Linked DNA regions of Lepisosteus oculatus. The protein of the gene in region 2 interacts with the protein of the main gene of each other region in a pairwise test. Links are inferred from orthologs where the notes say so. Each region holds a gene or a part of one and is shown on either strand. Other genes may lie near its edges. The genes, in order: setdb1a, tsc22d1, aplp1 and ccdc90b.

What was found.
Region 1: the proteins of tsc22d1 (region 2) and setdb1a interact in a two-hybrid assay, tested with the Homo sapiens proteins (2 studies listed by BioGRID and IntAct). The link is inferred for Lepisosteus oculatus from reciprocal best matches to the Homo sapiens genes TSC22D1 and SETDB1.
Region 3: the proteins of tsc22d1 (region 2) and aplp1 interact in a two-hybrid assay, tested with the Homo sapiens proteins (2 studies listed by BioGRID and IntAct). The link is inferred for Lepisosteus oculatus from reciprocal best matches to the Homo sapiens genes TSC22D1 and APLP1.
Region 4: the proteins of tsc22d1 (region 2) and ccdc90b interact in a two-hybrid assay, tested with the Homo sapiens proteins (2 studies listed by BioGRID and IntAct). The link is inferred for Lepisosteus oculatus from reciprocal best matches to the Homo sapiens genes TSC22D1 and CCDC90B.

Annotation. Positions count from the first base shown.
Region 1 is NC_090722.1:6,979,385-6,987,209, reverse strand, and holds the start of setdb1a (histone-lysine N-methyltransferase SETDB1-A), read right to left. Parts: upstream 3,016-7,825; 5' UTR 2,851-3,015; intron 2,818-2,850; exon of another isoform or gene 2,255-2,817; intron 1,554-2,254; exon of another isoform or gene 1,549-1,553; 5' UTR 1,517-1,548; coding exon 1,314-1,516; intron 1,112-1,313; coding exon 939-1,111; intron 429-938; coding exon 361-428; intron 1-360. Other genes in the region: aryl hydrocarbon receptor nuclear translocator-like, read left to right, coding at 6,971-6,992, 7,768-7,825. UniProt on the Homo sapiens protein: Histone methyltransferase that specifically trimethylates 'Lys-9' of histone H3. H3 'Lys-9' trimethylation represents a specific tag for epigenetic transcriptional repression by recruiting HP1 (CBX1, CBX3 and/or CBX5) proteins to methylated histones.
Region 2 is NC_090710.1:16,242,439-16,249,852, reverse strand, and holds the start of tsc22d1 (TSC22 domain family protein 1), read right to left. Parts: upstream 3,009-7,414; 5' UTR 2,388-3,008; coding exon 1-2,387. UniProt on the Homo sapiens protein: Transcriptional repressor. Acts on the C-type natriuretic peptide (CNP) promoter. Acts to promote CASP3-mediated apoptosis.
Region 3 is NC_090722.1:11,189,514-11,196,942, forward strand, and holds the start of aplp1 (amyloid beta precursor like protein 1), read right to left. Parts: upstream 3,008-7,429; 5' UTR 2,663-3,007; coding exon 2,603-2,662; intron 1-2,602. UniProt on the Homo sapiens protein: May play a role in postsynaptic function. The C-terminal gamma-secretase processed fragment, ALID1, activates transcription activation through APBB1 (Fe65) binding. Couples to JIP signal transduction through C-terminal binding.
Region 4 is NC_090700.1:9,250,790-9,258,297, forward strand, and holds the start of ccdc90b (coiled-coil domain-containing protein 90B, mitochondrial), read right to left. Parts: upstream 3,019-7,508; 5' UTR 2,919-3,018; coding exon 2,820-2,918; intron 2,619-2,819; coding exon 2,495-2,618; intron 2,017-2,494; coding exon 1,897-2,016; intron 1,711-1,896; coding exon 1,607-1,710; intron 921-1,606; coding exon 819-920; intron 482-818; coding exon 440-481; intron 349-439; coding exon 277-348; intron 1-276. Other genes in the region: BTB/POZ domain-containing protein KCTD21, read left to right, coding at 3,540-3,541, 4,022-4,823; alg8 (dolichyl pyrophosphate Glc1Man9GlcNAc2 alpha-1,3-glucosyltransferase), read left to right, coding at 7,233-7,321.

The DNA.
Region 1 (7,825 bases), on a different chromosome or scaffold from region 2:
TACAGCACACACACACAGCATCAAAGCACACAGCCCAATACTGTACAAAACACACACACAGCCTGAAACTATACAGGACACACACACAGCCTCAGAGCACATAGCCTCAGAGCACACAGCCTCAGAGCACACAGCCTCAGAGCACACAGCCTCAGAGCACACAGCCTCAGAGCACACAGCCTCAGAGCACACAGCCTCAGAGCACACAGCCTCAGAGCACACAGCACGATATTGCACAGCGCACACACACAGCCCAAAACTATACAGCACACAGAAAGCCTCGCTCTGTTTAGACAGCACAGAGAAGAGAACAGGAGACTATGGACACAGCAGGAGGAGAAAGAGTGACCAGACACTCACTGTGGAATCCTTGACGGGGGTGGTCACTTTCTTGGCTGGAGAGGTGACATTCGGGTGGGCCGGAGTGACTGTGATGGAGGGACAGGAAAGGAGATCAATATGGAATTTATACAGCTCAAGCAGGTACCTGTGTCAGTGTGCGTCGGCTGCAAAGGAACAAGTAAAGGTTTATTCCTGCTGAAAAGAGAATCAAGGAAAAACAACGTTTTGGCTGTGGAGCCTTCTTCACACCCGAAACACAAACGTTTCTTTTCTTTTCTTTTCAGCATGGAATAAACCTTTACTTGTTTCTTTGAATTTATATAGTGCCCTGCACACAGAAACAACAGGCGTGGGATGATTCTTCACGCTAAATATTCCTGAGCCTTGAAGAGGCAGACACCGGACAGGCGCCTGACCTCTGGTTTAATACAGCTGGACACCAGACTGGTGCCTGACCTCTGGTTTAATACAGCTGGACACCAGCAGGCGCCTGTCCAGGCAACTCAGATTGTGCAGCTCATGGGAGGCTGTGCTCTGGGATCCTCTGGTGTGAAAGGTGCTATATAAGAGGGAAGGAATTCGTATTCAACACGTACTGCATCCCACAGCCACAACATCATCGTCGTCGTCATCATCATCGATCTCGATGACCTCAGAGGGCCTGAGGGCCAGACGATCCCCCTGATCATCGTCCGAGCTGCTGTCGCGGTACGTCAGACCCATGCTGGAGTAGAGGTCTCGAACCAGGCCCTCACATTCCTGCATCGACCTGGGGGGACACCACAGGACTGGTCACTCACTGACCACATTGACCACTGGACACACCTCAAGGCCAGTCATTGGCCACACTGTCCTCAGAACAAGCAGAGAGACCTGTCACTCACTGTCCTCAGAACAGGACACCCCCTGACCGCGCTGCCCCGGGGACAGGACACCCCCTGACAGCGCTGTCCCGGGGACAGGTCACTCACTGGAAGGCGGTGTCGAAGAGCCGGTCCACGCGCGACACCTCCGCCTCCCTCTGCTGCACCTGGCGCTCCAGCTGCTCCAGCTCGGCCGTCTTCCTGGCCACAGCCTCGCTCCTGAGGATCTCCTCCCGGACCCACTGCCGCAGCTCGTCCAGGGACACACCCAGCTCCTCCTGCAGCTCCTGCTCCATCTCCACCTCGTCCATCTGCAGCAGCGGACACACAGCACCGAGACACACTGCACTGAGAGAGAGGGGTTCATACAGACACACTGACAGACTGGACACTCCAGTACATTAACACTGCACTGAGAGAGAGGGGTTCATACAGACACACTGACTGGACACTCCAGTACATTAACGCTGCACTGAGAGAGAGGGGTTAATACAGACACACTGACTGGACACTCCAGTACATTAACACTGCACTGAGAGAGAGGGGTTCATACAGACACACTGACTGGACACTCCAGTACATTAACACTGCACTGAGAGAGAGGTACACTGCTGTGAGTGTAACATTGTAAGAAAACTACAGTCCCCTTTACCCCAAAGGAATCCAAAAGACACTGGTGTTGACACCCCACTCTGACAGTGTCCTGGGATCTGTAGTGACCAGTAGTCAGGACACCAGGGTCAACACCCCACTCTTACTGACAGTGTCCTGGGGTCTGTAGTGACCAGCAGGACTTCTGTTTAACATTAATACCGAAGGAGTACACCTCCTACTGCTGAGTATCTGACCTAGAGATGAGTACACATGTTACGTGATGTGGCGACCTTGTGGCTGCAGGACAGAGGTCCTACAGTGTTCTTGGGCTTCGGACACCGGACTATAGCAGAAACCTACACAGCGAACGTTTTCAGGTGTTCAATGATGTTACGCGTAGAGCAGAACTAATTTTACACAAAAGGTTGTTGAAGTTCGTTGAGATCACTACTAACCTCACGCACGTTTTCAATTTTCCACACTTTTAGAATTAGCAGCAGCTTCGGCTGCGAGACGAGACGAAACGAGGGGTACTGATTTAGATCCAAAACCTTTGCGGAAGGAAGACTTCAAAATATAAATGTATTTTAAAAACAACTCGTCATCTGCATTGAGCACCTCCATTGAAGGCGATGAAGGCGGTGTTACTGCGGCAAATGAACGTCATGGGAAATGTAGTTTTTTATCTCCCGCAATTCTTTAAATACGAAGGAGAGTTACGACGAAGAAAACATCAACTCCCAGCATACCATGCGCTGCGCTCGCAGGGCGCGCGGGTCTGACGTAAGGTGAGGGCGAATTTAAAACACCTCATCGCGTTCTTTTAATTTCTCACAAAAAAAACTATATAGTTACATATTTGTGATTATATGCAGTAAATATGAGAGTAAGGGGTTATCTTTACGAAATAAACGTTGTTACCGAAAGCCATAATTTGGACAAATTTAGCTGTAAGCATTCGCTCTTTATCGCAGATGTCCCCTCTCTACAAAACGACGTCTGCCCACCTGAGAAATTAACGACAAACGACTCCGGTTTTAACCAGAATTACCTCTCCTTCCAAGGCGTTTCGCCGGTAGAGGGTCACTGTAGATATTACTCTTTCGCTATTTCATAAAGAAATTTTTGAGCCAGATTCCAGTCTCCGAGCTTGTCTCCCTTTCTCCCCCTTCCCAGAGAGAGTCCATGAGGGAACACGCCCACTGCAGTCGTCGCCACGCCCCCAGACCTAATGAGCGCCAATCAGCAATGCTGATCGACGTGAGTGATAGGGGAGGCAACCAATAGGCTCCACAGTAGCGTGAGGTAAGAGGAAAGGCCCCTCCGACGATGGCAGGTTTGTCCAATAAAGAGCGCTAAACCGTGATAGGCGTCGGTTTGAACCAATCAGTGCAGCCAGAGGTTCTGGCGGGAGCTGACCTGTCAAGGGTTTGTATGCCTAGAGTTTACAACACGTGGTCGAAGCTCTTCTGTAATTGCTGAACGCATTATTCTTGAGCAGGGCAATGTGTAAGCAGCGTGGCTGTCAATGCCTGGCACAGATACCTATAAATGTACAAGAATCCACTCTGTCTCAGTGGGTCAGTGCACTCCTCCTGGTCAGAGCTGGGAATTCTGAGACAGGACACAAAACACAGTCGTTCTTCCAGATCCTTTTATTTCAGCAACTCCTGGTCTGGATAAAACTGCACACTGCTCCCCATGGTCCAGCCCTGCCCCGTCGCCCAGTCTACCGCCAGTCTCCCAGTCTACCCCCTGTCTCCCAGTCTACCGCCTGTCTCCAGCTCTGCCCCCTGTCTCCCACTGTGCCCCCAGTCTCCCAGTCTACCCCCAGTCTCCCACTCTGCGCCCAGTCTCCCAGTCTACCCCCAGTCTACCAGTTTGTCCACTGTCTCCCACTCCGCCCCCTGTCTCCCAGTCTACCGCCTGTCTCCCACTCTGCCCCCAGTCTCCCAGTTTGTCCACTGTCTCCCACTCTGCCCCCTGTCTCCCAGTTTGTCCACTGTCTCCCACTCTGCCCCCTGTCTCCCAGTCTACCGCCTGTCTCCCACTCTGCCCCCAGTCTCCCAGTCTACCCCCTGTCTCCCAGTCTACCCCCAGTCTCCCAGTCTACCCCCAGTCTCCCACTCTGCCCCCAGTCTCCCAGTCTACCGCCTGTCTCCCAGTTTGTCCACTGTCTCCCACTCTGCCCCCAGTCTCCCAGTCTCCCACTCTGCCCCCAGTCTCCCAGCCGCTGGGGGTGCTGCTCTCAGCCTCAGTTGCTGATCTGCTCCTCCTGCCAGGTGGAGGTGGGGATGGCACTGTAGGGGTCGACCACCATCTGGGCGCAGCGCACCACCGTCACCAGCAGGAAGAAGCACAGCAGGAAGAGGAAGGCCAGAGCGAAGCCCTTGTCAACGTCCACCGGGAGCTGGGGAGGGGCATCCGTGTCCATCTGGACCAGCTGTCCTCCTGGTGTTACAGCCCTGTTTCTTAACCACTGGACCAGCTGTCTTCCCGGTGTACCAGCCCTGTGTCTTCACCTCTGGACCAGCTGTCCTCCTGGTGTAACAGCCCTGTGTCTTATCCACTGGACCGGCTGTCCTCCTGGTGTAACAGCCCTGTGTCTTATCCACTGGACCGGCTGTCCTCCCGGTGTAACAAGACCTTAACACCTGGACCTGTCAGGTCTCCTCACTTGAGCAAAGTCTCGTCGAACTGGATGAACTCCATGTTATTACTGTAAACATATTAAACAATCAGAAAAGCCCAGGAATCAAACAGCAGAGTGACCCGCGGGTCTCTCGGTCCGCCCCAGGCAGTGTGCGTGACAGGCAGTGCGAGAGTCGCTCTCTGACGCCAGTCCGGTCCTCCAGCGGGGTGGTGGCTCAGCAGTGGCCCAGTGGGATCCAGTTCGGTTTGGGTCCCAGCTACAGGCTCAGGACCGGGGTTCTGCAGAGCCCTGTCGAGACTGAGAGACGCAGGGGGGTGAGTCCCATTGTGCAGGAACGGGAGGGGGCTCATTATGGAACGCAGGTACGGGTGACCCCCTGACCCCTGACCCCTGACCCTGGCGCTAACACCTGTACAGGGCAGCTAGCTAGTGAAAGCAGCATAAACGTGCCCTGAACCCAACACTGTCACACGCTGGGGAAAAACGAAACAATCCTTAATCGGAAATTCAAGGAATTTTAACAGCGTATGCAGTGACTTCTTGCCTCTCCGAGGCCAGATCCCAGAACTCCAGTAGGGAACATGGCGGATCAGCCGGTGTGTGTGTGGGAAACGGCGGCCTCACACTTACCCATGCCCTGGTTAGTGTGTGTGGTCACACAGCGGCGGTATCGCCTCGCCGCTCGCTCCTGCCTTCGGGATTCGGGAGGGTCTGCAGGGATGCACTGCTGCCGGAGCGATCCAGCTCGTTCTGGACCTCTGCGCTCGGCTGCGGGAGTTTTCCTCGTGTGCGCCACTGTCCCCCCCGGCTCATGAATACTTCAGCACGCTCCTGGTGTTGTCTTTCGGCCCGGCCCGCTGCCGAGGGGAACCCGATCCCGGCGCGGTGCCGCCGCGGCCCGCTCCACAGAGGGCACCTGCTCCGAGCCGTGTAACCCGGCACACGGCAACCCGTCACGCTTCATGGGAGTACTGGGAGACAGGGGCCATCCCCGTGGAGACAGCGTGAAGCCAGCCAGCTCCTCTTTCACAGACTCTGGACCAGCAGCAGACACTGCTAGTGTACTCTTTACTGCGTTTACCCTCATCTCACTGGGCTGGACTGCACTGGACTGTGCTTTTACCCTGATCTCACTGAGCTTTACTGTACTGTACTGCACTTTTACCCTGATCTCACTGTGCTTTTACCCTGATCTCACTGGGCTGTACTGCACTGTACTGTGCTTTTACCCTGATCCCACTGGGCTATCCTGCACTGCACTATGCTTTTACCCTGATCTCACTGGGCTTTACTGCACTGTACTGCGCTTTTACCCTGATCTCACTGGGCTGTACTGCACTGGACTGGGCTTTTACCCTGATCTCACTGGGCTTCACTGCACTGTGCTTTTACCCTGATCTCATTGTGCTGTACTGCACTGTACTGTACTATGCTTTTACCCTGATCTCACTGGGCTGCCCTGTACTGTGCTTTTACCCCGATCTCACTGGGCTTCACTGCACTGTACTGTGCTTTTACCCCGATCTCACTGGGCTTTACAAAGGACAAGATTTCTGTGACAAGTTATTCAGTGCAGGGATGAGTCAGCAAACAGCTGCCCCACGGCCCCTTTGCAAAGCTAACGAACAGGAATGATAAGCAAATGTTTTCATAATACTGTAGGATTTAATGAGCTGCGTTACTGAAGCGGATACCCTGGTTTCAAATTCAACTTCTGAAAGAGCTTTATTGGCATGAGAAGAATGACGTGTTACCAAAGCAGACACAATCAACACAATATTTGCATACACCACATAAAACATTATTGTGAGAGAGGGTTGGGGTTTTCTTTAACGCTTCTAGGATCAATTGACGGAAAAGTAGCTCCTCTCCTTCACCTTTTGTTCCTGTTCTCGTGTTTGTGTTTATGTTAAACACTGAGATTGCAGGTCTGTACTCGACATAATTAATCAGAAACTCGCCTCTCCACAAAATCACTCTCTCCCTGCAGGGACCGCGGAGGATGACAAATACCAGATGTCGAAATATCTTTCACAACAAGCGCATTTCCTGTGGAAAAATACAAAAGATCTCGATTAAAAACACTCAAACCGCCCCAGACTGTCCCTTTAAACAATTCTGTGTGGCGTCACCGATTTCGGCCCGCCCCCTCAGATCATTCTAGCCTGGTGTGAAAGGCGGGATCTCTCTGTTGCCTTTGCTAGATTCCGAATCTCTATTGGCCAAAAGAAAGGTACGTCCAATCTTTGTCATCACTGATTGGACAGAGGCACCGCCCATCATTTTAACACGTTTTTAATCCGTTTTGTAATCAAAGAGTTCGGTTGACGCGCGGGCCTCCGCTCCAGACTGCCATCTTGTTTCAAGGGAGGGTTTTCGCTGTGTGTTTTTTTTAAAAAACAAAAACATAAGAGGAAAAAAAGTATCTTTCGAAAAATAAGAAAAAAACCGACAACCCGTGTCTCACGCTGTCCCACACCGTGCGGAGGCGCCGAGGGCTGGATGTTTTCTAACGTTCATGGCCTCGACTTCGGCATCAGGTACGAAGCCCGTCGATTGCGTGCGGCCCCTGGGCGAGTGTGTGTCCCGGGGGTGTCAGAACAGGCCTGCCAGCCCTGAGCCCTCACGGGGCAGAGCCGGGGGCTCTGGGGGTCACCGGGCGGGGTTTTTTTTTGGGGAGGGGGGTCTTTCCGCTGGAGCCCGGCTGTCCGCCACAGCCTGGACAGCCCGGTCACTCCCGAGCCCACAGGGACGTCTGGCGAACCGGAGGGAGGAAACCTCTCTCTCCTGTCGCTGTCCGACTGACTGGCTGTCGCGGGAGGGTTTCGCCGAGGCGATGTCTGAAGCCGGCTGGGTGCTGGCACTGGGTGGGTGCGTGGGGAGGGGGCTCTCTGTGACTCGCGTCGCGCTGGTCCGTTCACTGGCCAGGACAGCAGCTGAAGCTAAAAGGAAAAGCGCTTCAAAGTGTCAGAGAAGTAGCCTTGATGATGATTCCCGACTGACAGCACTGTAAAACCTGGAGTGGATCAGACTGCTGCGCACTGGGAGTCTAACTGACAGCACTGTAAAACCTGGAGTGGATCAGACTGCTGTGCACTGGGAGTCTGACTGACAGCACTATAAACCCTGGAGTGGATCAGACTGCTGTGCACTGGGAGTCTGACTGACAGCACTGTAAAACCTGGAGTGGATCAGACTGCTGTGCACTGGGAGCGTGGCCCGTTTCCTCAGGCACCGATGTCTGGGCGCTCTGCGGTCTCGCTGTGGCCGGAGACTGACACTGTGTGACCCTCCTTCTCTCTCCCTCTCTCCCAGACATGGCGTCGGAGGTGTCCGGGCTGAGTGCGGGTGGGGCCCCTGGTAACCCGGGCCT
Region 2 (7,414 bases):
GGCTGCAGCAGTCCCGGCGGCTGCGGATGGGCCTTCGCCAGCTGCTGCGCCAGCCCCGACACGCCGGCGGGCAACACCTGCGGCAGAATGCCGCCCTGGGCGGTCTGGGCCATCTGGGGCGGCGACGGCGTCGACTGCTGCAGGATTCCCTGCAAGGGGGGCTGGCCGACCGCAGCGGGGACGGTGCCGCCACTGCCGCCTCCCCCCGGCTGCTGCTGCCCCGCCGCCATCATCTGACTGTTCCCGGTCACCGCCGGAGGGGGCATCGCGCCCGAAACGTGAGGAAGAGGAGGCATCGTAGGCTGCTGCTGTTGCTGCTGCTGCTGCTGCGGCCCAGGCGGCACAGGAGTCTGAAGGAGGGGCTGGTGGGGCACGAAATCTGGTGGCAGGCCGGCTCCTTGACTCACGGGCATGGCATGCGCCGGGGGCATCTGGGTAGGAGCTGCAGAGGGCTGCGGCGCAGGGAATCCCATCTGCTGCGGAGCTACGCCCGCAGGGGCAGGCTGGCCAGTCTTCTGAGAATATGGCAACTGCTGCTGGGGGAGGGCGGCCCCAGGATGTCCCACGGAGGCCTGCATGGGGCCGATCGGGGCCTGCTGCTGAATGGCGCCGATGCTGACGGGGATGGAGGGGGCCCCGCTCGTCTTCAGGAGCGAGTGCACCACGTCTTGGGCGTGCACGTGAGCCTGAGCCAGCTGCGGCTGAGATCCGCTCTGGGGCAGGCCCGGCAGGGAACACTGCATCCCTGGAGGGCCGCTGTAGTCGGCGGGCTGGGGAGGCTGCTGCTGAAAGGCCTGCAGCACGCAGGGGGCTCCCACCTCCCCGCTGCCCACGCTCTCGGTGTAGTGGCTCAGCGTGCTGACCGTGCTGCTGACCGAGCTGCCACTGGTGCTCTCCCGCTCGGACCCCGCCGCGCTCTCGGGTGCCGTCTGCCGCAGGCTCTCCACCAGCCTGTGGCCCGGGGGGCCGTCGGAGGGAGGGGCCGCCGGAGCCGCGGCCTCCTTGTCGTAATACTCCGTGCAAGTCCACCGGCCCTTCCTGAAGGGCTCGGAGCTGGAGTCCAGCTTCACCACGCGGAAGCGGGAGCTGGCGGCGGCGGGCGGCGCCACCTGCGTCTGCTGGGGTTGGCCCTGGGGGGCCGGGGCCTGAACCAGGGCTGCCAGGCCGCTCGGGCCGCCCCCTGCGGCGGCGGCGGCGGCCATCGCGCTTGAAGCCGGCGCGGCCCCCATCGCGACACTGGCGCCGCCTGGTGGCTGCATCACACCGACGTTTTGCCCGCTGGCATTCAAGCTCATCAGCCCCGGCGGAAGGCCACTGCCGCTGCCACACGTGCCCGCGACTCCGGAGCCCCCCAGGCCCGGCGCGCCGGCGGAGCTCCCGACTCCCACGCCGGCACCGCTGGCGATGCTGCCCAGAGGACCCATGCCGACGGCGGCGGCGGCCGGAGCGGGGAGCATGCCGCCGGGGCCGCCCGCGGGCAAGGGCTGGGGCAGGACGGCGGAGGCGTTCTCAAGAGCCGCTCCAGCGCCGGCGGGCAGCTTCTGGGCCGAGCCGAGCAGAGGCGTGGCGGCGGCGGCGGCCGTGACAGAGGGGCCGACCGCCGCCGAGGCAGGAAGAGGGCCCCCTGCCCCTGGGGTGGACAGGGCAGAGGGCAGGGCTCCTGGGGGGGTGGCGGCAGCGGCGGCGGCGTGAGGGTGGTGATGCTGGTGGCCGTGGTGATGGGTGCCGGGGTGATGGTGGTGGTGCGTCCCGTTCACCATGGCCCCGTGCTGCTGCTGCTGCTGGGAAAGGAGCTGGTGGTGCGGCGGGGCGCTGGGGAGGTGAGGCTGGTTGGGCGAGACGGCCCCAGGGGTCTCAGCCTCGTGGAAGTTGTTCAGCGTCTCCTCCGACGAGCTCCTCTCGGGACCCCCCAGGTCCGTGGCCCGCGAGAGGGACACGTCCAGGATCTCCGAGGACGACAAGTCCTCCGTGTGCGACTCATCCAGGTCATCGTAGCTCTCGGTGTCCTCTGCAATGCTATTGTTGGTGCTGACGGAGATCTGGGCCGGCGTGACACTGGTGATCTGGAAGCCACTTTTCTTTTTCATCTGCGCCCCGGCCGACTGGAGAGGCTGAGCCTGCAGCTGGGACTGGGACAGGAGATTAAGGCTCTGGGGAGGATGCTGGGGCACCGGGGAGGAAGACCCAGCCGGGGGTGGAGGCTGTATTAACAAGGGCGATTGGTAATCATCAGGCGGAATGACATTATTGCTAATGCTGGAACCTGCTGCCGCTGCCAAAGCCGAGATATTGCCGCTGCCGGTGCTACTGCCCCTTCTTGGAAATATTGCCGGGTGCGCCATCTTCCTAGTGCTAGCAGAATCTCCTGCAGATTCCGGATGATGCATTTTGTAAAATTCCAGGGGTAGTTCCTTTCAGTGTTGTAAATACAGGTAGCAAGTACGTGTGTGTATACGTACTGAACAGGCGGTAGGTTTTACTACGCAAAATAATGAAACCGAAGAAATGCCCAAACCGTTTCTAATGTAAATTCAAGCCGCCGCCATTCAACTTTTTTTTCCTTATTTAAATATTTCCCCTGCGAGATATACTGCTAAACAAAGTCGGCGGTGCGCCCTCAACGTTATATTATCCAGACGCGGTAGGCTGTGAACGTTGTTAGGCGCAGTTCAACATCTCTCAGCCCTTTCAGATATGTGCGTATTTATATTCTTAATTTCAATCCGTATGGCAATGAGAAAATAATGTATATCTACCAATAGTGCACCATGAAATCACCTCCATCACTGCCCTTTTTTTTAAAAAAAATGAAACGAAACAGTCCGCAGCCGGTGCAAAAATGTGCTGGACAGAGGTTTCCCTTTTTGTCTGTCACGGCAGTTGTTTAATCCATGCTTTCATCTTTCTGTTTTTATCCAATGATTGCTGTATCACCCCTCACTCACCGATTCTCTTCACCAGCAGCCCTCTTGCACTGTTTCTCTCTCGACTATGACGAGACTAAGGGGGAGGAGGGCTTGCTAACATGGCGAAGACGCGTGCGCAGTGCAGCCGCACAGCAGCCAGACATAAAGCCAGTCTGGGAGAGGCGGAGGGGAGGGGGGGAGCGGTAGAGCGAACAAAAAAAAGAGCTTCGGGCAGTTGACCCGGAAAGTACCGAGAGCCAGTGACGGCAACTGTCGAACAAAAACGAGGCTCCAACGAAAGGTGCCGAATGTACACAGCATTGTTCGACACAGATTCTGAAGGCTTTATACCGTGTGTTGAGAAATAAAAGGTGGGTGTGTTAGGACGAGAAGGGGTGAGGGACAAGGTGATGGGACTGTGTCGGACGTTTATTCACTGGAAATCAAAAGGGCACAGTAGGACAATCAAACGGCGAAATTAACCATATCTCTTTACGACTGCATGGGCGTTGTCCTCACTCGCATCATCTTAATTTCACATTTGAGCCCCCCCCCCCTCCCTGTATGCAGACACCAGTGCTGTCTTACTGGGTTCTGTACTGTAATGTACACCTGTGGGCAAGTCTTAAAGATGCGTGGTTCGGATTAAAGATACATTTCATTCATTGAATGTTTTATTTAAAATATGCTGTATCCGGCTAAACTGAGGAAAAAGATGGGGATTTTTTTTTCCTGAATGAGGAGAACTTTCGAAAATGACGACGCAGATTTCTGGCATTTAGAACAAATGTCAGTACTCATTGTTTACAGTTAATAGCAGTCTTGCAAGGCGAGGGATACTACTGTCACAAGCACTCAGAAGACGGTAAACAATGAGCACAGGTCAAATACAAAGTCTGTTTCTATTGTTATACAAGCAGGGTTACAATACACATCATTCTTAAAAACTGAATAATGTATCTCTAGAGATTTTTAGTTCGGGTCATTCACCCAGCCCATTCCTGGCTAATAAAACGAGAGAAAAAAGTTTTTTTTTTCTACAAAGATTAATTCAATTTCCTAATGTGTAAGAGCAGTATTTATAAATATCACATTAAAATATGTAAAATGATGTTTTCATTCTTAGCAAAGCAGATGAATCAATAGTAGATACATGAGACTCTTCATCTTGTGTGATAGAATAATTTGATTTCAACATTGTTACCAATATTCTCTCTTCCTTCCTTCAATTGTCAGAGTAGAAGTGTTTCTCCTGCTAGGGTCCCTGTTGTTGATTCAATTTTAAATGCACAATTTCCTGAAGCCTTGCAGCACTGTTCCCCCCCAGAAAAAATAATTACTTGACAAAACTTAACCAGGACAGATTTTTTTAAAATTTCCTAGTCTATTAAAGCTATAACCTATTATGTATGTCAGTCCCACTAGAAAATACCATTTTTTTTCTATTTGAAATTAACAGTACAAGGACTGATGGATTTCTATAGTGTTTTCTTCCAGAAAGATCCCAAAGCATTTTGTACATACTGTAGGAGGGGACCTACTTCATCCACCACTGAAGTAATGCACCCACCTAGTAGCCCCATTACCATAGGTTAGGTTGAGATGTGAGAAATTGCTTCTCTAACTGAATTAATGAGGGTCTTTAGGTAGATCTGCCAGGGCACCAGAATTATCCCCCCCACAATAGCCCACAGTGCCCATGAGATCTTTAATTACCAAGCAATCGGGGCTTCAGGTTAATGTGTGGTCTCAAGTACGGGGCCCCCTGCAGCAGAGTGTCTCTGGTCACTGGTGGATTGATCATTTCTTAAACTCTGAAATGACTCGATTTTCCCTGGAGGTTTCCCATCCCAGTACTGATCTGTTCCAGCCTTGCTTAGCTTCTCAGACCTGTCAACCAGAATGCTTTAGTTCTTTCTCAAGCAGTGTTGGAGAGTTTGTGATGTGAGTAGAAGCTAAAACTCCACAGATGACCTGGATACCTCCGAAGATCAATGCTGCCTGGTACTTTGGTCCTCTTAAAACAACAGAATATATATTTAGAACAAATTCGATCTGCACCATTGTGTCCTATCCAACACGACTGTATTATTTTCTAAGAATTAGTTTAAAGTTCAAGTTATTTCTCAGCTACCCTCACACTTGAAGAAGGCTCCACAGCTGAAATGTTGTGTTTCTTTTCTTTACTTTTCAGCATTGACTGAACCTTTACCTGTTCTTGTATTTCAGTTAGGACATTCAAGTCTCAGTTTCCACTATATTAATGGGAGTAAGGTGTTAACTTATTTTGCACTCTGACACTAGGAGAAATGTATTATTAAAAGCACATTTAAAACAAGCAAATAATGAAATTCACCTCAGTGTGTGCCGACATCATTACTAAATTGCTTTTTTTTTCAATTTTATCAATATTATCATATTATTTTAAATTTCCAGCTTTGTGGTAAAATCTAGAGTAAGTAGAGACCATATGTTTTTAGAGAAATGTTGTGCGCAGTGCCATGGGCCCGACAGTGAAGAAGAATAATTGTGTCGGCCTTGTGTCTGTATTCTGCGCCACTGTTTGCTTAACTAATACAGTGGGGCATTCTCTTTTTCCTGCTGCTTCTGCAGTACCTGTTCTGTGGACACCTAGGGAACCCCACTTTCCAGAGCTTTCGCTTTTATTGTTGCTATTGTGACGTGACATGGAAGCCGGGGTCACTGAGTGGGTTTCATATGATCACCGAATGAGCTGTCAAAACAGGTAAACAAGGCTCTCAGACGGTGATAAAAAGGATATAGCTTCGCTGTACTACTCAGCTGTTGCCATTCAAAACACAAAAAATAGCATGATCTAATTGTGGTACTTTCAGAGTCACTCCAATTTTTTCCCCCTCACAAAGTTTACTTACATCTCAGTATTTGTTAGGAGTATTAATGCTTACCTTTATTGCTGTTGATTGCCGTTTTATTTTTGTTTTTAGACTGAAGACCAAAAAAAAAACAGATATATCTAAAACAAACACATCCTCCCTGGTGCTTCTTGAGAAAACAGTGTGGCCAAATCCGCACTTGAGTGTGACACAGAAGTACAGTACAGAAGGTTGATATGATAAGGACAGACAGTGACTGCCAGTTAGACCTCCTGGACTTGCAAGTCTTGCTGGGTGAATGAGCCTCTCATTAATATTGTATGAAACTGGCCGCACAGCCTTGCCACACTCCTGGGCACCACTACCACTCTGTCTCACATATGATTAGGGGAGCAGAGCTGCGTTACTTCTTGAAAAATCTTGAAATCGCTGGAAATTTTGTGAAAGATCCAAATTCGATCTTAGATACATTCCTCTTAATTGGCATGTAGACAATCTTAACTGCGTGTTTGCTGTCTGTGGTTTGTCCCACTGCAGGGCAAAGTCACCCAGTGCTGGTGGCTGATGTCCCATGGCCAGGCTACTCTGAGTTACCCCAGAGCACAGGCTTCTTTAACCGCTGGCTGTCATCCTGGCTAGGGAGAAAGAGGAGGCTTTCCAAAGGGATCCAAGAGAGGTGAGTTCTTCCAAGGAGCAGAAAGTGGTGGTTATGAGGCCGGTTATTTTTAAGAATTTGAGAACTGAAAACGCCTCATCTCCTGGCCAGGAAAATCTCTGTAATAATAATAGATTTTGTTATAGCACCTTTAGAAGTGATTTCTCAAAATGCTTTACAGGAAAAAAGCACACAATGAGAGGAGGCAGCAGAATTACACAATAACAGTAAGCGTTTTTGAAATGAATGAGATGTTTTCCACCTTGAGAAAAATACTTGTTAATAAATAATATTAATATTACTAATAATAGTAAAAGTAATATCAAGTAAAGTTATACTTGCTACTCATCTTTGTAGTTGCATACATACAGTAAGCAAGAATTGTTCTTACATTTAGGGGTCATTATCATAACATAACTTCTTCAACAACATTTTTACATTAGATCTTTTATGTTTTTATTCTTCTGACTTTGAAGTCTGTTGCAAAAGTTATCCTTGTGTGATGAATTTGGATAAAGTGATTTACAGGCTTGTATACTGCACACTATTATACAGTCAAGCAAAGGCACACATAGCTAATAGCAGTTTAGCTAGTAAACACTAGCCAGCAGTTATATCACCTTGCAACTCTCAACTGGCAACCCACTGAAGCTCAGCAGGTATGAGCCTGGTCAGTACCTGATGGAAGACGTCCTGGGAAAGCTAAGGTTGCTGCTGCAAGTGGTGTTAGTGGGGCCAGTAGGGGGTGCTCACCCTGTGGTCTTATGTGGTCTTATTATGGCCTCCTAATAATCCCCATCTACAAATTGTCTTCATTACTTCATGTTCTCCTCCCCGTAGATGTGTGGTGAGTGTATTGGTGCACTTTGGCTGCCGTTGCATCATCTACAGTAGATGGGTGCAATACACTGGTGGTGGTGGAGAGGAGTCCACAATACTTGTAAAGCACTTTGAGTGGAGTGTCCAGAAAGGCACTATGCAAGTGTAAGCAATTATTG
Region 3 (7,429 bases), on a different chromosome or scaffold from region 2:
CCTGGAGGAAACCCACACAAACATGGAGAGAACATACAGACTCCACACAGACAGACCCCCAGGAATTGAACCCTGTCCTCTTCCCTTCTTATTTTTCCTAAATATTAAATATTTAAGTTCGAAACAAATTAAATTAAATTTTGTTTTACTTTCTGCATTATTCCAGCAAGAGTCTCTGCCTACTAGCCTTGTTATCTTAATGAGATTCTCAGAAATAAGATCTCATCTTAGAGAAATTGTAACACATGACTTCATGCCAAGATTGTGTGTTTTTAACCCAACTGCCAACCTCATCGTGACATTTCTCATCTTTAAAAACATGTCCTGGCTTGGGTTTCTGTGGTTAAAAAAAATCCTTGAATTACTCACCCAGTCCTTCAAATCAAGTCGTGTTTTTTTCTGAGCTACAGTAGGTGATGCAGCTTTTTTTCAAACATCAGGTAATATTTTATAGACCAGTAAAGATATCTTACTACCTTCAAAATGGGAATGGCTTTACTTCTAAAACAATAAAACTCTCAGTAAAAACACATTTCTTTTAGAGATTAAAAGATGCTGTTTAAAACACAGTTGTAAGAAATATCGGCTTGTAAGATTTTGGTTCTTACAGCAAAGCATAAAGCTCTGAAAAGAAAAGAGACACTTCCACCTCGTCCCCGAAATATTCTAAAAGGATCAAATAAACCTATTTATGAAAGCCCACTGAACACTGAATTGCTCTGTAGTTAACGGCGCCTAACTCTTTCTCACAGTTCGGCCCCCCGGGGGCAACATCGTGACTGACGTTACTCCCCAAAAATCCCAGACTCCTTGAATCAAAGACAGCTGGGAGTCCCGACTGCTCGAGCCCTGCTCCGCAATTCAATCAAAGTGTCAGCCTGCCCGTCACATTGCAAATAAACATCCGCGCGCGATTACATCTGTGCTGTCCGCGCCACGGCGCCCTGCTGCCGGTGGACAGGCTCTATCAGATACGCGGCCGCGGCCATATCGACCGGTGGACCCAGTGCAGGCCGACGTCTGCCACTGTGGAGCTGCACTGTACTGTGCTTTTACCCTGATCTCACTGTGATTTACTGCACAGTGCTGTGTTTTCCTGCGCTGTCCAGAGTGCTGTGATACACACAGGGTTTATGTTTGATTTACTGCTAGAACTGAACCCTGTTTTTGACACCATTTATGTGCAAAAATAATCTTTTAAAAGAAGAAATCCCACTGAGGTGGAATCTAGTACATTAACAGAACTCTGCTGAAAACCAACAGTCTGCCCCTTCATGCAAACAGCTCGACAAGCTCATATCCGGCCTCATCGGGCTACAGGGAGCGAAGACGCCTGGAAGTTTGTGTGTATCCTGTGCATCCGGGTGGATTCTGCAGCTGGCTGACACTTCCAGTCCAATAACATCGGCTGCTTCCCTTCCGCCTTCATCCTCAAAGCCTCCGAGCCCTCTGAATAAACAGGACTTCAGCCATCGAGCGCCAGTGAGGAGGATGACGATGACATTAGTCCTGCTGCTGAAACTGGGAACCTGCTCAAGCTTTCTGTATGCAAACACCACTTCACATGTATTTCAGCTTCCAGAACACAGGGCTGTTATAGGCGCCTTTTCCCTCATTTGTGCATTTGTTTCTACAGATGTCAGAGAGCTAAACGAAATATCTCTTAATAATGAGAAAAACATCCACCACCACAGTGCTGCTGCTGATGGTGACGATAGGGATTAATGTAATTCTGTGCATTAGCAGGGCTGGATCAGCAGAGCTCTTTACTGGTGCGACTCTCATTATAAACATCTCTTTACTCCCCAGTGCAAAAGCCCTGACAACACACACAGCTGCACACTGCTGCTGCCTGCAGCCCCGGCCATCAGGAGAGGAGTCTGCCATCTTCCCAGCCCGATCTATTAATCACTCTCACACACGCATGTGTTAGTAATGCGTTACATCCATACCTGTGTGTTTGAAATGATGACCACGTTTAGACTATGAACACCAGCGGCTCATTAGTTAGACAGGGAAACCTCTCCAGGGGTTTTAGTGTCAGTAAAATCTCCAGACTCCCCCCTCCCTCACAAAAAACACACGAGCCTCGGTCTGATGCAATAAAGACGTTCAAGGAAATTTCTCTCTCCCATTTATCACCTCGACATCCCAGATGGTAGCTACCCCCTCCCCAGCCCCGTCTCCGCGCTCTCTCTCCCCGTCACGGACGAACATGGCAGACGCGTGCTCATACAGTATATACACCGATTCATCACCATCATCACCACCACCGTCATCATCATCATCATCATCATCCTACACAGCCCGCGCCTGTCCCTCTGCACCCCCCCGGAGCTCTGCGCCTACGACTCTTCTGCTCCGCTGTCAGCTAAGGAAGGGCGAAGGGCGAAGGTGCACCCCCGGCCCCTCGCGCTCGCCAGGGACCCCCACCTGCAGGGCTCTCGCGCCCCCTCCCCGGACTGCCCCTACAGCGCGCGGCCCGCTCGGGCGCATCGCTGACGCGCAGGAGTGCGAACTCCAAACACACTGATCGATCACTCCAACCACACCGATCACTCCAACCACACCGATCGCACCTGGCACGCCCGCAGGGACTCACCTCGCCGTACCCCCAGACGTAGGCGAACAGAGACACAAAAACGCAGACGCCAGGTCCCATGTTCGGCTCCCGTCTGCTTCGCTACTGACAATCCGCTGTTTTCCTCGGTGATGCAGTGGAGCGAACCGCGTCCTCAGCCGGTGTCCTGGCGGCTCGGGTGATGCTCTCTGGACGGGCGCGGGGATCTCTGCGCCTACCTCCGACGGCTCCGCTGTGTCGTGCGTCTTCACCTCGCTCGCCCGAGCTCCAATCACAGGCTCCGGGGCTTCTCGACGCGCTGGTGTTCTGCTCACAACTGAATCCGCCACCCCCTCCTCCTCCTCCTCTATCTCTCGCTCTCTCTCTCTCGCTCTCTCTCTCTCCAGCACAATAGCAGCCGGTCCGCTGCTGTACCGCGCTGCGCCTCTCGGATTGGCCGCGCCGGCGAGAGACTGCGGCTTCACGAGCTGGGCGACGCCCTCCGGAGCGGGGAGGCGGCCCGGCAGCGGATTGGCTCTCTCCGCGCACGGGGCCGGTATCCAGGTCCGCTGTGATTCGACTCACCTCCGCGAGGACCCCCATGCCCCCCCCCCCCACTCCGGCGTGATTTTCTCACCGTGGACGGTCCGCGTGGGCAGCTTGTGTTACACGAATTTTCGACATTTTCTGACCGCAGCCGTTCTGACAACGAATGAAATATACCGGGGAGCTTCCTATACACAGATATGTTGCTTTCAGCGGAATGACAACAGCGCTGGCAGCTACAAAATTGAGAATTCCGTTGTTTTCTTACCCGACCCATAATACTCTGCTCTCAGAAAATAAAACGTAGGCACGCGGCACTCACAGACACGTTATTTACGAAGTAGAAGTTATTCTCTAGGCGCGTTGTATGATGAACTCATCCTGAATATAACACCAGCGGCCCAGGACTGACCCGGGTGCCCCAGAAACACCGGGCCATGGTCAGGCTGAGGTTCGGTTCCCTATCGAGATCAGCACGAAGTTTCAGGTATAGGGTGGGTGCGTAGAGTTGTATGACAGTTAGACAATAAAGCAAACACACGATCTGTGGGCTGAAACAGTTGAGTCTAAAACAGCGCTGTGTCTAGCACCTCAGGCAAGGAAGGACACGCTGATGATGAGCCTGCAGCTTTCTGTATGGACAGAGAGGACAGGCTGTGGTCACTGAGCCTGTCTTCTCTCTGGACAGCCAGGTCTGCCTGTGTCCAGTGTCTGTGTCCAGCAATGCTGGCTCCCCATTTACACAGCGGGGTGGAGTGGAGCAATGGGGTACAGTACCTCACTCAAGGTACAAGAGCAGTGTCTGCAGCTGGCGCTCGAACCCCCAACCCAGGCATGAGTCCAGAGACTTACCCACTGAGCTACACTGCCCCCCGCAGGCCTTTCTGTGCTTAACTAAAAATCTAGACAGAGTTTCATTGTGTTGTATTTATATAACTTTATTGTGCATTCAAAAGGGTGGAAATTTGTCTTTGACATCACCATAAACAACTACAGAACACAAATACCACTCAACAATACAGTAAATACAGGGGGTGGGAGTGAGGAGGGAGGGAGAGGGCGTCCAGGACGAGCTGAGCTCTTCTTTGAACTGCAGTACAAAACAGCACTTTAAGCTGCTTCTGTGGTCAACCAATCACTTTCCTAGCAGTATTAACAATTCCGTCTCATTGCCTTTACTCCTAATGCTCAGGCTCACACTCTATAAACCCTCTGTACACCCATTGTGCCTCACCCCAGACCCCTTCAGCTTCCTGATCAATATATGCGCTGACTAGCCTTCTTAAAAATGCAAGGGTTCAAGACCAGGTTTGTTGTCCTGTGTACCTGAGTCCAATGAAAAGCTCGCTTGCGTGTTCCTCACAGGACAAAATGACACGACAGATGACAGAGAAAATGGCATCACAGTTATTTGGAGACAAAGAAGACGAGAAGTCAAAGAAGATGGTAGCAGCATTTAGATAGCGTCTGTGTGCAAGCAGTCTTGACTTTTATCTGACTTGTGTGGCAGTTTTTGGATGTGTTTTGACTTACTTCCAACTGGTGCTGTCTGCAAAGTTCAAAAGTTCATGTGTAACTGTCCAAGGTGTTTGAAACCCTGAACAACCTCCCACAGGCACTGACCAATAAGGGAGAGGGGCTGAACGGCTAGCAGCCAGCTGTGGGGGTTCACGTTCGAGTCGACACCCTTCCAGTTCACTGATCTGCCCCGAGCGATTCTCCAGCGGCCCCAGTAACCAGGTTCCCTGCAAGCGACAGAACACCAGTATTTAAAACGAGTTCGGTTGAAAATGTATTTCTTATAAGAACCCGCTGTGACCGATCTGTTAGAAAATCCTTCATCCCTTTTTTCTTCTTTAATTTATTTCCTGCGCTGGAGCCGTTTATCTGCTCAGCGCTGGTAGGGCGGTTTCACCGGACTGATTACACAGTCCTCAGCCACAGCTCCGTCGGCAGGTGGTCGTCCTAAATTAGGTTTAGTCACTTTCGACAGTCTGTTATTATTTATATAGATTATAATTGTTTTTATTTTTGTCATGTATTTCTGCAGCGTGTGACTCATCGTTAGTTTGTGAACTGCAGACCTCAACTGCAGCCGACGTCCTCTCGGTAACAGTGAGTGTTGCACGCAGACAGACGTGAGATAATTCATGATCACCTGAGAAGGTAAACTGTCCCTTAAAACGTGCCGGCGACCTGGATTAAACCCCAGCAGGCGCGAGGACGGCCGCGCGAGATGCCTGGGAATTTGGGGGGCGATGCTACTACACGACGACACGCCCGTGACCCTGATTTCATACATCGTGACGGCAGCGCAGCCCGATTCGGCGTCTACGGGGTGGGACGCGTGTCGGCGTGAAGGAGCCCACAAGTCCCTTTGTTCGGTGGTTCACATCACCAGCTTCCGCCTTAGTCAGAGAGAGAGCTGCATTGTGCTCTACACCACACAGCACACAGACATCGACCCCTCGCGAAGAGTGACACCATTTCAAACAGTACAGCGGATCCCAGCGTCGACAATCCCCACACTGTGCGACACACAGCACTAATAAAGATATAAGAACTGGGAGAGGTGTTAGTGGGGCCAGCAGGGGGCGCTCACCCTGCGGTCTGTGTGGGTCCTAATGCCCCAGTATAGTTACACTGTAGACAGGCGCCGTCCTTCGGATGAGACCTAAAACCGAGGTCCTGACTCTCCGTGGACATTAAAAACCTCAGGGCGTTTCTCGAGAAGAGTAGGGGTGTTACCCCGGCGTCCTGTCCAAATTTCCCCCTGGTGCCTTACCCATCATGGCCTCCTAATAACCCCCCTCTCTGAACTGGCTCCATCACTCTGCTCTCCTCCCCACTGAGAGCTGGTGTGTGGGAGAGGACTGGAGCATCATCCAGGTGGGGCTGCACACTGGTGGTGTTGGAGGGGATCCCCATTACCTGTAAAGCGCTTTGAGTGGAGTGTCCAGAAAGACGCTATATAAGCCTAAGCAATTATTATTATAATTATTATTAACATAAGAACATAAGAAAGGTTACAAACAAGAGGAGCCAATCGGGCCACCCAGCCTGGTCAGAGTTAGCTGCCCCAAGGAGCTGACCGCGCTGTCGGCCTTTTTCTAGGAGGCTGTGAGCGTGGCGGGGGGGGAGGGGGTTAATACGTCACAGGAGAGGCCCGGGTGGGGCGCGCGTGAGGGCGAGTGCCAGCGCGATGACCTCACACGCCTGCGCGGCAGGTACGGCTTGCGCACACCGGAGCCCGGACTCGTCACCCAGAGCTCCTCGCGACCGCACCCGTCCCGCACCGGCAGCGCTGAGCTCCACACCTGCACCACCCCACCTGACACGAAGAGCGTCCCCCCGTCCGCGCTCCTCGGGGGGCGTGAGCGTCTGTCTGCGCACACGTTTGCGACTCACTACTTATCCTTCCAGCTGCGCCTGACTTCCCCCGGTCCCCGAGCAGGAGGTTTTGGGGAGACGAGTTTCGGGGTGCAGCGCTGAATTGCGGAAAGACTGCAGAAGCGACTCGACCGAGAGCCACCCTCCCCGATCGGCCAGAATGAGTTCAGCCGTGCGGTTTCAATCGGAAGTAAGTTTGTTATTGGTTTACTCGTTTGAGTTTGTTTCTAACTTCTAACTTTTCTGTTTTTATAAAAGAGGCGTGTCGTTCGGTTTGTGAACAAAGACGCGGGTAAAGATGAGGTCCGAGCAGGGGGGACCCCCTGAAAGGGACCAGGTTCCCCGTCACTCAGCGCTGGTGCTTCAGGGGAGTGAGCTTATTATCACGAGTGGAGGGCAGGTAGAGCAAATATCACCTGGTCCTCAGAGATCAGCCATTCAGAAATCGAAATTTAGACCTCCATTAAACTGTGACCTGAATGTCGCCGTATTAAATAAGTGTTTAAAATGACCTTCCTGACTTGACCAGCGAAACTCAAAACAACCGAGGCTGTGCGTGACTCGAGCGCTGTAAAGGTATTTCTTTAAACTCCCCGTGATGTCAAGCGTTAACTTGGCTTGACAATATTCGCGTTTCCCACAGCGGTAACCGGCAGAAACTGACGGAGGAGGTCTAAATGTGGCCAGTATACGCAGCGTCTCCCTCACACGCTGTTCAGTCGTGTGGGAGGATATTTCTTTTCTAGAGAAAAAGTTGCGTAAGAGGATGATGAATGATTATCATCATTACCAAGATGAATCAGTGGTGATTTTTTTTTGTGAATGCCAAATCGGAGGGTCTCTGGAGTGGAGAAACAGCGAGCTGGAGTAGTTTCCCGGTGTAGATCGTTTGCAATGATTAACAGAGTCCGCTCCGGGCTCGTCAGACAGGTA
Region 4 (7,508 bases), on a different chromosome or scaffold from region 2:
CTTGAATACATCTAAGTACTTTTTAAATACAACACAGAGGAATAGGATAATTCAGCAGATATGTGGTTGTATTTTCATACTTTTGTACTCCTTTACATTATGCTTCTAGTACTACTCCAGACGATACAAGCCTATTTGTGTAAAGAAACAAGCATGTGCCATGCCTCTACTCCAACTAACAATGTTATCGATAACGATAACAATATTGATAGCATCTCGGGATTTTTTATCACACAGAAACATTAGAAATTTGAATGCACGGGTCATAGATATTACCATGTCAGTTACTCTGCTTCTTTCCAAATTAATATCCAGTTTGGCATCTGCTCTGATTTTCCGGCTTTCTTCCTTTAAAAAAAAGTGCAATAGTTAATCGGTGTTTGCAACTTAAGCACCTTCATACAAACTTTATGTTTAAGTTACCATTGTTACCACTTACCATAAGTAGCTGTTTAACCTGCTCCAATTCAGTTTTCATTTTCTGTAAAACAAGTTTTGGTTCACACTGTTAACTGAATAGTGGCATTTTTTCATATTTTAACATCAGAACAATGAACACAGTAAGATTAAGCCTTATTCAATCTGAGATGGTGGTACTTGGCTGAATGAATTGAATTAGACTGAAATGTTTCATAAGTCCACTTCCCATGATCAGTATTATTGTAATGTTAGAAAAAGAAACAAAAAACATGACCTAAGAATAAAGACCAAGTGTTACTTAAACATCTGCATTAAACCTCAAGAGTATTCAAACATCATGTGAAAATGACTGTTCTAATTATAGACTTGCTGCGCACAGCCTTACTGTCATACTGTACCTCATTCTCAGCCCTAAGGTTTCTAAATTCACTTTTTTCCAAAATAACCATGTCTTTCCTGATTGAATCCAGGTGAGCCATTATTTGCTGTAGAGCAATCTCCTAAAAAAAAAAGGAAAGCATTTGTTTCATTGCTCTCCTACTGCTTAGACATTTTAGATCTACATAGGCAATTATAGTTTATGGACATCTATAGTTTCATATATAGGAGGTAGGTTTTCTTTTTTAAATTTTTCACTTCATTGCACAGTACAAAGATTCTCTTTTACGGTATGAAAGAGAAGTATTCTTCTCAAAACAGAACATTATGTGAAGTTGTAAATGTCCATGTGAAGGTACCACTCATTTTAACTGATGATAAAATAATCCATTTTAAAATCAGGAAAATTTTAGGATGTGGTATAAATGCAGGGATCTCAATTCTTCGAGGATTAAGACTGTTCTATTTTTTGTCTCAAGGAAATACACGATACAGTTGATTACTCAAAACACTTGTCTAAACATGAATCAAATGTACAGTTATCTATAGCACTCTTCAGAGCCTGTTTAGAAGTACTAAAATTATGTAGTTAAGTCATTAAACCAATCATGTAACCGAGAGTGTGGCTGGAAGAAATAACAAGAGACACAGAATTCCAGAAACTGAGTTTGAGACCCCTGATTCTGAAATTTAATCTGGACCTGCCACCAAATTTTTAATAAAAAAATCAGTAACCAACATGTACTGTATGTAAGAGCAGCACGTAAAGAGGGAAGACAATACAGAAGTCAGATATTCAGTTATTTACCTGATGTGCCCCAGTCACCATGTCTCTGTACACTATGTCCATATTGGCAGTTGTTAGTGTTACAAGCGCCGTGACAATAATCTCTGCTTGTTCTTTTCCAAAGCCTGTATGAAAGGCAAAACATGGAATAATATACATTTAAAGAATCAAGTAGTTCCCAACAAAAAATCCCATAACACTTTCAAGTACAATCCTAACAGAGAAGAATCGAATCTGAGTCTACAAACACATCAAGATAGGGAAAAATACTCACGTAAATTTCATTTATTATTGTACTTAAAGCAACTTACCGCTGGCTTGTAGATCTCTCACCAGGGCATGTGTGTCAAACGTCAATTTCCTCTGCTCAAGAGGTGTTAGCTCCACTCTTCTCATGTCATACGTTTTTTGAGCTGCTCCTGCATGAAACCCTGAGACAAAGGTAAACGACGAAGAAAATGAGGATTTCATTTGTCTTTATTGAAAGTCCGGCAAGTCCAGAAAATGCTCGTATGCATGCGTGTGCTGAACTGAAAAGCTAACAAACGACCAATCTCAATTTGTATGTTGACATTATGATGTAAGGATACGGAACAGTAGCTGTATTAAACCAAGACTTGTGAAATCTCCTCCAGCCATAACCATGTTTTCTTTGGCAGTAAAAATGAACTCGATTGAATGATTTTACTTTCTGAAGACGATCTTGTATTCAAGAGTTTTCAGGGTCATAAAAAGTTGGTCAGCTGTTGGTTGCGAAGGCAGCAGCAGTTTTATCTGCGACTGGGCAATCATTTCTGGTGCAGGATGACAAATATACTTAAAAACAAGGATTCATTACCTACGATGAATCGGAATGGACAAGTGCTGCACCCGGAGCTCTGAAACTGCACCGTGTTTAATATAACCTACCTTTCGCCGTAGTGGGTAAACGTTGCAGACACAGGGCTCGACTTGGCTTCCTCAGCACAGATAGAAAAGTTTTGCAATGTCTGCAATTCATGATGCTTGATATATGCCGTGGATCCTCTTCTCGCTTAAAAAAACAAAAACTTTAATCATAAATTAATTAAAAGTAGTATATGTATATATTCATTTCCTAAGTAAGAAGGCAATTTCTGCTTCGGTTTTTATGCCGTGAAAATTGCAGGTCATAGCCTGCAGGTTTCTGAGTACTTGTATTATCCGGGCATTTTTGGAATATTTTTCGCGTCACTGTACGACAACAATTACGTACCGCCCAGCGAGCTGGGGACGCTGTGGAAAGATCTGTTCCAGTGATCAAGTGTGCAAAAACATTTCGTGGGCTTCGTATTACAGGAGATGCGGATTTCATTGTAGGAAATGCGTACAGTATATCTGCATTATAGTAAAAAAAAACATTCCAGAAAAGATGGCACCTGAACGCTGTGACTCTCCTCCCGCACAGAATAAACCTTTACTTGTTCCTATTAAGAATTAAAAATCGGTTTAAAAATTGTTTGTAAGTTGTTTTACACCTTTCTATTGGCGCGGTTCTGGTACGCTTTCTGGCAACTAGCGTCTGGTAACACCGGAAACCTGACAAGGTCATAAACTACCAAACTTCACAAAAATAACGCCTCCTTTAATTAGGTCAAAGTTTCTGTTTACCCGCTCCAATATGACAAAATAAAACCGTTTCTATGGGTTTCGGAGCTTTCTAGTAATGACAGCATAGAAGACCCTAATTTAAAAAATAAAAACAACCATACCCAATGGGATGTTAAAATTATTTTAAAACAGTGCCCTTGAGGCGCCACAGTGATAGGCACCTATCCCCTTTATGACTTCTGGCCATCTGATAAGGTTATTTAATACAGTCCATTAAGAATGTAGTTCTTTCGCCAGAGAAGCAAGTTTAACTTTAAGCAAAACGTTGAGACGGGACTTCAACTCCCAGTAAACACAGCGATTTGTCTACTCTACACACCCAACAATGTTTGTATTACTTCTCTAGGATTTCTGTGGGATTGCGCGACTGCTATAACGATCGGATTCTTGCAAATAGATTATGCGAAGGAGAATTCGTGTTTAAGATTTGGAAGCTCTTAATTTCGAAAATAAACATAGTTTTTCACGTCTTCGCCTCTCTGACGCGCCTTTTCATATTTTTAATAGCATTATTTTTGTTTCTACATCACAAAAGTAGGTATAATTACAAAATATTATATTGGTATAATTATAGGTATAATTACAAAATATTGACGCCGATAAAACATGTTGTGATGTTAGCGAGCATAAGGTTTTGGATTATTCTGAGCACTTTGGAAAAAATTGTAGGGCTCAGATTTGTAAATTGTTTTCTTGTTTTTGTTAACCCAATGTCCTTGCTGTGTCAGAAATAACCCTTCTTCTGCTTTTATACACTTTTTACGCTTCTGTGGTTCTCTAATTTCTTTACTTGTTCCAATGTGCCAGGTTCCGTTGCTTGCTGATCATGTCTGACCTTGTGACTCTCAATGTGGGAGGAAGGCTGTACACTACCTCTCTGGCCACCTTAACTCGGTTTCCCGACTCCGTGCTGGGTGCGATGTTCAAGGGCAGGCTGCCAGTCAGAAAGGACCAGCAGGGCCATTTCTTCATTGACCGGGATGGCAAAACCTTCCGTCACATCCTCAACTTTCTCAGGTCCTCGCACCTCGACCTCCCAGATGACTACAAAGAGATGAAGCTCCTGAGACGCGAGGCGGGGTTCTACCAGATTCAGCCTCTGATGGAAGTGTTGCATGAGAGGGAGGCTGAGGACCTGGCATCAGAGAAGAACACCATGCTGAACATCAGCCTGGATCAGAAAATGCAGGCAGTTCACCTCTCTGGACCAGATGCGCCCCAGGCCTACAGCCTCGGTTCTTTGACTATAGACGTCTTCTCAGCCAACATCTTTTGCACCTCGGGTGCGTTCCTGAGCAGCCTGGGTATTCAGATCTGCTACTTCTTCAACGGCAACCTTTCCCCTGTGTGTGGCGAAGGCGAAGGTCAGAATCGGCTGGCGCTGCAGTGGGTGGGTGCTGTAGAGGGCCTCCCGGAGGAAGAGTACACCCTGCAGAATTTGAAAAGGCTCTGGGTTTTTAACAAGCAAGTTAACAGTCTCCGGGCCTTTGTGGAAGAGGTTCTGAAAATAACCATGAATCAAGGCTTCTGCATGGACTCCTCTCACCCCAGCTCCCACGATTTCACGAACACCAAGACTGTCCGGTTGATTCGCTACAGGTGCTCATGAGGACACGCAGTAAGAATAGTAGCTCACAGTAGCTCACTGATCGGAGGATCACACCCAGCCATTTTATACAAATGGGGTGAATCTAAATTTTATGCTTTTTTGAGAATATGAATTTCAATATTATTGTGCATGCAGTCTGATGTATTGCCTGTTCTTAGAAAAACCTTTTCTTTTCTATCAAAATTAACTTTATTCCACCCGAAAAAAACATCTCACAATAAATACACACTCTCACAAATGATCAAACTTACATATAACAAACGTAGAAAACCCTGTTCACTGAGAATTTGTGAGATCATTAACACCACTGCCTCACAACTCCAAGGGGTTTGATCTCGGTGTGATTGTAGGCCTGTCAAGCTTATTAACTATGAACTGGCTTCATCAGTCTGCTCTCCTCCCCACTGATAGCTGATGTGTGGTGAGTGTTCTGGTGCACTATGGCTGCCGTCGCATCATCCAGGTGGGGCTGCACAGTGATGGTGGTGGAGGGGAGTCCCCATCACCTGTGAAGTGCTTTGAATGTAAGCAATTATTAATTATTATTTTTATGGTGGGGAATGGATTATAAGAAAATGAAGATTTGCAAAGAATGAGAACATGTATTTAATTGTAAATGTTATAAGTATATAATACTGCATTTAATTAATACTACTAAAATATATGTTGTACAAATGCCGTTCAGAATTGTTTGTATTAAGTGTAAGAACTGTTTAAGTGTTAATTGTATTATAGTTATTGTAACAAATTGGCTGTTTCAGAAACTGTTGACCCTGCAGGCTGTTAAAACACAGATAGCAGAACCACATCTGGGGGCAGCTTCAGAACAGAACATATGGCGTGATAATGCACAACAGCAAGTGCATGATATAGTTACAGAACCAAGCCATGAGGTCTTTGAATATGTCTACTATATGATGCACTATGGTCCTTGTGCCTCTTTTTAGTGTGCCTTTATTTATGGTGAAATTTCTTCACAAAACAGTATTAAAATTTAAGAAAAGGACTGTAACGTTTCTCAAATTGAAGATAATACATTTTTACTCCTCATTTAAAGGTGCCTAAAAACTGCTTGTATTGTAAGAGAAAATAGGATGGTTTTGTGAATGCATCATTTCAGACCTGAAACCTTTGTTGTGCCTGGATACACGACAAGAATTCCAGACATACTGTGTAATACTAAGACAATTGTTTTACACACAGCAAAAACAATGCCCTATTCAGTTTCTGCATTTGTATAGGGTTGCTTGTTTCCAGTTGTCCCCTCTGGTTCATGGTTCCCTGGTCACACAGCAAAAGACAGCATATTACATGACAGACAAATTGTGGATAGTTGCTAGTTTAAAACTACCTAATTTTGTAGTCCTACAGTATGTAATTGAAACACATAACTACCAACTTTTGATCTGCAGTTAGTAACGAGCAGTTTGTGCTTGTGCTTAGAAGCATGTGTATGTTTGATGTTGCTCAGAAGGGCCCATAAAATTCTGACACTTTTCAATCAAGCATTCACAAATTTATCATCTAATTAACTCGATCCGGTTAATTGCAGAGCAGTGGTGTAAAAAGCCGCTCATTAGGAGGTAGCGACTAATATGTAGATTCCTAGCTCCACCTACTCCCTTGCTATATGTTCACGTCTCTGCGTGGTGAAGTCAGAGGAGGTAGGTTAATTTGCATTTTACATCCCATGATGCTCTGCAAGACTTACAAGATTTAATTAACATTGTTTCGTTTTAGCATGTTTTTTTGATTCCTAACAATGAAGACAGGTGTTTTATAATAGTGTTGTGTGTGTTTTAATACTCGTGGTATTAAATAAAGTTTAAAGTTTGTGAACCATTATAACACCGTAAGGCGTGCGCATTGTGTTTGCTATGGGGTGGTTAGACTGGGGGAACGGTAGGTTAGCTTTGCGCAGTGGCAGTATCGTAGCCTATGAGGTTTATCCGAGGCGCGATTATTGCTAGTTGAAAACTTTACCCAATACCCCGCTTGTACTGGCTTGAAATATAGCTAGTGCCGGCAATTTTTGACAGTCTCTTCGGAGACTGAAAATATTGGTATAAAAGCAGATTTATGCACTAGTATTTAGCGTAACAAATGGTAACGAGTTAGTCGTGATGTATTTAGTTTATGTTGTTATAGATCCAAAGATTTTTGTGCTTTGAGAGTGGTACTATATAATAAATAATGCATGTACGATCACGTATTGGTGGGGGCTGGACTATTTCCATAAGGCGAAATCGTTTTAGCAGTTATTTAATTAAATATCCAGAATAACAAACCACTCTGGACTTGCGAAAGCACGGGGGGTTCAGAGATGGGGGTGCGCAGTTCTTCGACGGCGCCATCACTCCGTCCGGGTTTTCTTTGCCGTTGCACACAAAGTTTGTTTCAGGAACTGTCATGGCGGCGCCCGTGGCTGAGGGCTGGAGCTGGTTTCTGACTTTAGCAGCGGGGATTTCTCTTTTGAAGGGTCTGCTTATTAATACTTAGTAAGTTCCACCGGTTTACGCGAGCTGCGTTTTCCATCTTACCCGGGAATGTCGAGTTTTCGAAACGACAATTACTGGTCATGCCGTTTCGATAGATTATGTTTTTGATAGCTCAAGACGCAGCTCATTCGTGGTCTTCATTCATTCTTGACCATGTCAAAATCCAGCACACGATGCAAGCAGACAT